Drosophila melanogaster: one gene and its partner. The protein of the gene in region 1 purifies or fractionates together with the protein of each later gene. This does not show direct contact. Each region holds a gene or a part of one and is shown on either strand. Other genes may lie near its edges. The genes, in order: Cmpk and CG8132.

Evidence for each region.
Region 2: the proteins of Cmpk (region 1) and CG8132 purify together in Drosophila melanogaster (affinity purification with mass spectrometry, with the first as the bait; one large-scale study listed by BioGRID). This does not show direct contact.

Annotation. Positions count from the first base shown.
Region 1 is NT_033777.3:26,053,737-26,057,579, forward strand, and holds Cmpk (Cytidine/uridine monophosphate kinase 1), read right to left. Parts: upstream 1,703-3,843; 5' UTR 1,601-1,702; coding exon 839-1,600; 3' UTR 501-838; downstream 1-500. Other genes in the region: Vps2 (vacuolar protein sorting 2), read left to right, coding at 1-11; Sld5, read right to left, coding at 1,951-2,072, 2,131-2,584, 2,645-2,755; CG14543 (uncharacterized protein), read left to right, coding at 2,921-3,046, 3,111-3,572; PIG-P (phosphatidylinositol glycan anchor biosynthesis class P), read right to left, coding at 3,611-3,843.
Region 2 is NT_033777.3:9,399,637-9,403,118, forward strand, and holds CG8132 (uncharacterized protein), read left to right. Parts: upstream 1-1,858; 5' UTR 1,859-1,930; coding exon 1,931-1,949; intron 1,950-2,004; coding exon 2,005-2,837; 3' UTR 2,838-2,982; downstream 2,983-3,482. Other genes in the region: CG34117 (uncharacterized protein), read right to left, coding at 1-303; RpL34b (ribosomal protein L34b), read right to left, coding at 801-1,242, 1,306-1,370; CG9356 (uncharacterized protein), read right to left, coding at 2,988-3,137, 3,207-3,482.

The DNA of each region.
Region 1 (3,843 bases):
GCAAGGATTGAGCCGCTACTAAGAACCACTGCCTGTCCACTTTATGTAAGAGCCACCACCCGTTTGTATCTCCCAGAAGCGAATGTTATATTAAAGAGAATGCTTGTGATTTTCGTTCCCTGCGTGTTTGAAAAATCGATGAGTAATTAGCATTTACAAGCTATAATGGAAAGAACTGGGTAGTGCTGCAATCGCACAGCCTAGCTACAAACAAATTCGCAATACTTGTTACTTTAGAGCTATACAATATTCGGTATTTTAAAAGATATGTACGTTTCATGCCTGTCTTCAATAAAATAAGAAAAAGGAATTTCCAAATCATGAAATTATATATATATGTATATACATATATTCAGCTTTAACTATAAATGCAAAATTGTGTTTATCTGAATAAAAAGAAGTACTTTCCTAAATTTGTACTATTGGGTACTATAGAAATATGTAAAACACTTGAAAAATGAAAATCACATAGCACTTGTATAAATAAGAAAACTTGTTTTAAATGTCATAATATGAACAGGGGATTTAATTTATTGTTTATTGCTCTTTAACGTTCCTACATTTAAAATAGTTCTCAATCCATTTGCTTTAGATAACATATAATTCCAGAATAACTTTTGCCTAGCTCCATTTTTTACTCGATATTAAAAAGTGTGTGTGTACCTCCGCTTTCCTTGATTGGGTATACTAAACTTCATGTGTATCTTGTATCTTATCGGGGTGAAGAAAAAGTACCTTATGCATTACTATTAACAAGCGTATATATGTATTTTTTTAGAGGGTACAAATGAAAGGTAAGGATAGCACTACACACATAACCGGAATATGAACAGGAAATCTAGAAGCCGCTGGCCACAAATATCTTTTCCACCTCCCCGAACACCTCTTCCGCATCCGGACTGGCATCGATCCGTTTCACCTGGCCGGCGCCCTCGAAGAACTTGATGATGGGCAGCGAGTCGTTGTTGTATGTCGAGATGCGCTTCTTCAGGCTGTCCAGGTTGTCGTCCGTCCGGCCAGAGCCGCTCTGGCCGCGGCCCAGACACCGTTTGACGCACACATCCTCGCCGCAGTCGAAGAAGAGGACAAACTGGAAGTCCACCTTCTCGGACATCTGGCGGTTCCAACCGTCCAGATTATCCTGATTGCGTGGGAAGCCGTCGATGAGGAACCGCGACTTTCCCGACGCCTTCATGGCGTTCTCCAGCAGCGAACACGTGACCTCGACGGGCACAATTTTGCCATTGCGAATGTAGTCCTCGATGAGGTTACCGAATTCGGAGCCCTCCCGCGACCGCTCCTCGCGCAGGAGATCGCCGGCCGAGAGATGGGTGAATTGGAAGCGATCCACGATCCTGGAGCATTGGGTGCCCTTGCCGGCCCCGGGACCGCCCAAAACAAAGACAATCTTTGGCTTCTCTACGCTCATGATTCCGATATTGTGTGGTGGGGCTGTGGAGGTGGTGGTGATGAACCTATTGCTGGCCTTGGAATGTCGCAATTGGTGCTGCGTCAGCGCTGATGGTGCGAGACCGACTCCTGGTGAACCGCAATCGTTGGCTACTGCTCTCAACGTCGTTCGTGCCAAAGCCCGCCACATTGACGACTGAACCAAACTGAAGGCAAATTGAATGCGTGGTTTATGTGTATGCCGCCTGCAGTACACCTCACCACTGTTTTCCACTGGAAACGTAACACCCTGTGACGTCACGCACAAGCGCAGCTGTTCGCGGGCGTCCGTTCGGCAACACTGGCGCCGGCTTTAGCGGGAAGCGAACCAATTTGAATGGCATTTTATGCAGTTTACTTCCGGTTCGATATTAAATAAATTAAATTTAATTTAAATATTCTTCTACAACATTTTTAAATGTACCCTTAAACATGCAGCTTTGCAGAGTTTGATTTTTAATTTTTTTTATTATCATGTATATTACCTGCTAAATAAGTCTTTTAAATTAGCTGCGCTTGGTTGTTTTGTATCAAGTCGGCCACTAGTTGGTAGGGAATAATATGCTGGGAGCCGGCCGCCATGTCCACCTCCTCATCATCGACGCCCACGATCACAGCGGGCACTGGAAAGCAAAACAAGAGTTAAGCGGTTATCTTAATTAGATGACAAAAGGTTATTACCTGCCACATTTGCCTTAAGAAAGACATGGCTCATCAGATTGGGCGTCACAATCCTCTGCTCCGCCTCTCCTCTCTGCTGGTTGGGCATGTACTGGGTGGCTACTTTGTGGAAGTACTCATCCACATTACTGGCAAACTCCTGGGCGAACTTAGTCTCCTCGGGAGACAGACGTTTGTCATCCGGCTCACGGCTCTCCTCCTGGTTGAGGATGTGCTGCGTGAAGGTTTCGATCTTCTGCAGGCGGCAACGCAGATAACTGGCCATTATGTAGCGCACCCTCTCCAGTTCCATGGAGTGCACCACCGCTCGGAAATCGTTCTTGTCCAGATCGCGCATCTGCTCCTCCATGTGGGCCACCTGGGAGACCATCAGCTCCAGCATGTCCGTCTGGCTGGGCAGGATCTCCGGCGCACACATTTCATTTATCCACGCGGTTTCTATGATTTCCAGAACCTAGGGATATCAGAATGTGATTACTTGCGTATTAAAAAGCTGTGTTACGATTTACCTTACCTTCTGAGCTGTAATCTGTTCCATATCGTCATCATCCTCATCCTCCAGTCCGGCGCCATCGCTGACATCGATTTCTAACTGGGTTTCGGGCACGTCTTCTACATCCGACATGGTTTTATTTATTTGTTTATTATTTTGCAGATTTTGGCGCAAATTTTGGGAATCGTTGGGAATGTCACTCCAGTAATACAGTTGACGTTTTTCATCACTGTTTCATTTGTTTTTACTCCGTGTGAATGGCACGTCTAACCGTTATCGATATCACAAAAGCATGCGATGGCAGCCGCACAACAAACTGAATTCCAAAAGAATTTTAGAGTGATTGTAGAGAAGATCTTCAATCACTGGCAGGATCTCCGGCTGGCGGTGGAGCATGGCATGGGCGGACGCAATGGCCAACAGGTTGTTGCTCGTATACCCTGAAACCGTCTTCTTTTCTAACCTAATCGGAGTGTCCGTTTTGTAGGTGGCCATAGAAATCATGGACTACACCTACCAGTACTGCGTGTCCAACGAAAATATCACGCAAGGCGAACTGGTGGAGGTCCTGGAGGAGCTGATGGACCAGGAGTTTAACACCCTCTGCGACGACGACTCCATTCCGGAGATCTGCCGGAATCTGCTGCGCTACAAATTGATGGCCCAGCAGAACCAGTTTCCGCAAATAGAGGCTGAATTGAGTAAACTTCCTGCTGGCAAGGAGTGGCTGCGTCCGGATGTTAAGATCACCTACACACCCATCGATGGGGACTCCTCATCCGATGAGGACATGGACGACAGCGACGAGGAGGACGATAATGAAATGGGCCAGGGCGACGAGGAAACTCCCAGCGGCAGTGGTCGGATGACGCGATCGCAGGCACGAAAGCAGCAGGCTGAGGAGTTTGTGGAACCGGAAGACGGCTGGACCACCGTGCGAAGAAAATGAATTTCGTCGGGATGATTAAAAAGAAACCTGCTAGTTTTTTAGTTATAATACGCTGTATTTACTTCCTGGAGGTCCAGAAAACGCAGTGGTGGAATAGGTGCACGTGTCACAGGTTGGTGGAAAGTCCTGCACAGGTTGCAGTTCACTGGAGAGGCCTTCTTTGATGCGGAATCCTGGCTGACCTTGCCTTTTTGCAACTGCGACCAGGAGGTGAACTCTGTCCCCTTGGGCAGTGCCAGCTTTGGATCCACCACCGAGGCAATGGAATCAA
Region 2 (3,482 bases), about 17 Mb from region 1:
CTTGGGATCCGAGGGCAGCTTGAAGCCCACCAAATCGGCGGTATCCCTTACGGATCTCTCGCCCCTTCCGTGATATTCCTTGTAGAGCTCCAAGTACCGGCGCTGGCTGGCTAGGTAGGTCAGGTAGGTTTGACCCAGGAAAGTCGCTTCGTTGCGCGCCTTGCAGAATTGTTGTTCCGTGGTGGCGAACTTCTTGTATTGCGCCAAAATGTAGCGCGCGGCCAGAGAGTCCTTGATGCAGCCATTTGGAGATGCCTGGCGCAATTCGTGCAGCAGGGAGCGCAGCACCTTGGTTCCCGCCATTCTAAACACAAAATATTAATTGCATTTGCAAGAAACTATAAACAATCAACGACTTACGTGATTTTTAAGAAAATTCCAATTGCTTCTGCCGAACAGCTGTTCTCAACAGAGTTGCCACCTAGTCATACAATGAATATACAGTGATCACTCTCACAAATTGACACTTTGAAAAATAACACTGGATCTTATTTTTTATAATTATCAATAAATCTGAAAAATCATCAAAAGTTTGACTACGAGCACAGTAAAACTCTGTGACAAACGAAATATTTAAAATTTATTTATTTTAATTATATTATATTCTCACTTTTGAAATCGTTTTGCTATAAATGTCTAAAAGTCGAACGGTCTGATTGGAAAACAAGAACAACCAATAAGTAAAGTACACAATCCAACTGGACTGTCAAACTAAAAATACAAACAGTAAATCCAGTTGGAAAAAACCAATTTATTTTAAAAGTTATTTAGCAGTACACCGAACTCGTTGCGTGGGCTGTTTACTTCCTGGGCTTGCCAGCGGCTGGCTTCTGGCCGGGCTTCTTGCCAGCGGCTCCCTTGGCGCCAGCACCACCCTTGGTGACCTTGCCGGCACCGGCCTTGGTTCCCTTGGCTCCAGCAGCGGGCTTCTTCTTGGGCTCGGGCTTGGCCTTGGGGGCCTTCACCGGCTTGACGAGCGCCTCGCGCTGGCTCTTCAGGGCCTTGACGATCTTCTGCTCCTCGATGAGGAAGGCGCGCACGATACGCTCGCGCAGGCAGCTGTGGCACAGCACTCCACCGTAGGTCCTGGACACGGTCTTCAGGCGCTTGGACATGCGGGGGCGCTCGCTGGGGCGGGAGGGGGTGATACCCTTCAACTTCTCCTTGCACTGGCCGCAACGGGGCACGGTGGGGTTCTTCTTCACATACTGGTAAACCAGACGACCACCGGGCGTGCGAACACTGTAAATTGCAAATGTGCGTTATTTTTCATATTGGTGAGGTGTATTGCAGTTGGATAGTTACATGCGCCGCTTGTTGGAGCGTGTGTTGTAGGACAGGCGTCTCCGGAGCGTCAGACGTTGGACCATTTTGCTGTTGTTGTTGCTGCTTGTCGTGGCGATTCGTGGGTTACATGTGCAAAAGCGGTGAAAATCATTATTAGTTTGGAGTTACACTAGGGTGGGTGCAGTTTGGGCTGCATTTGGTGGTATATTTTCACAATTTTTTCACACATTTCGGCGAATTTGCGTGAAATTGTTAATTGAACACGTGCATACCTCAAAGAGACGAAACTAGAAAGAAAGGTGGCAACCCTGTTCGCGCACGACGTGAACTTGGCTGCGCTGCCCACTGTACGACACTTTCGAGCACTGCAGACCTTGCCAGATTGCCATGAAAACATGGGCTTATGGGGGTTGCAAATTATTTATTTTTTGTTAGAAAAGTTAGGATTTTATACACAATTTAATGCTATATTCTTTTGGTTAAGTATGCTTTGGCTAAGTATATGCGTATTAATATGAGGTTAAATAATGCGTTTTATAAATATTGATCCCTTTTACTACGCCCCTGCGATAACCTGTTGTTGTTTTGCTTGCGATGAAATCTGTTATCAAACCGCGAAAAGATAACATTTAATTGCAGCAATATGAGCAAAACTAGCAACAGTAAGTGTTTCTCAAAATTTCAAAGAGATCCACTTAAATATTTCTTATTTAATAGTCATGCGTTTGGCGCTGCTGCAGCTCAAGGGTTCCAAGGACAAAGTGGCCAATGTCCAAAACGCCGTCACCAAAATCGAGGCGGCGGTCAAGGAGCATAAACCCCGATTGATCACTCTGCCGGAGTGCTTTAATGCTCCATACGGCACCAAGTACTTTCGGGAGTACTCCGAGACCATTCCCGATGGCTATACCTCGCAACAGCTCTCCAATTTGGCCAGGAAGCACCAGGTGTACATCGTGGGCGGAACAATCCCTGAACTGGGCGAAAACGATGCCATCTACAACACCTGCACGGTTTGGTCACCCACTGGTGACCTTGTGGCCAAGCATCGCAAGATGCATCTCTTTGACATAGATGTCAAGGGTGGCATTCGCTTCAAGGAGTCGGAAACGCTGTCCGCAGGCAATGATTTCACCATCATCAACGTAGATGGCCACAAGATTGGCATCGGCATCTGCTACGATATTCGATTCGAGGAGATGGCGAGGCTCTATCGCAACGCAGGCTGCGAGATGATCATCTATCCGGCTGCATTCAACATGACCACTGGTCCACTGCACTGGGAGCTATTGCAGCGATCCCGTGCCAATGACAACCAACTCTTTGTGGTCACAACATCACCAGCCCGTGACACAAGCGCCGAGTATGTAGCCTATGGCCATTCCATGGTGGTGAATCCATGGGCCAAGGTGCAGCAGAGTGCCAGTGAAGGCGAGGAAATCGTGGTGGCCGATATAGATTTCTCCGAGGTGGAGCAGGTGCGTCAGCAGATTCCCGTCTTTGGGCAAAGACGTCTAGATCTGTACGCCACCGAAAGGAAGGCCAAATAAAGGATTGCTTTAAATGGGAAATGGGAAATCTTCAAAAATTCAAGAATCTGTCGTTTTAAGCACCTTTAAAGCATTGCATTTATGTTATTTGATTGTATATAAAATTTATTAGGCCTACACACACATATAACATTGATTTCTGTCGAAAAACTATTGCATTTTATCTAGCTGCTGATTATCGCAGGCAGGAGTTACTTCGGATGCAGGTGATTGCACGTAGTGGGGTCGCTGGGCCTGGTCGAAAAGTGCTCGTATGGCTTCATCGGTGGCCATCAGGGGCTGACTAATGAATTCCAAGGCCTGGTGGGACGGTAATAAGGTGTACCATTAACTGGATGTTTGAATCACTTTAACTATCGCTGTACTTACCCTAACCGCGTACTTCTCCGCCTCACAAAGTGGACTTGTGCTGGCGCTGGACAACTTTAGTGTCTCCTCGGGAATGCCCACGCCAGTGTGCAGGACCATGCGTTGGAGAATGTTAAGGTTTTCGGCACTTAGGCTGATTACATCGGTGGCGGGCAGGTTGAGGAAACGAATCTTGGCCAGGAACTTCAGTTGCTTAAGCATATCTAGCTGAATTTCGCGGATCTGATGGGTGGCATGAAGCAGTTGCTTCGTTGACTCGTTCAATAGCTGATTCTT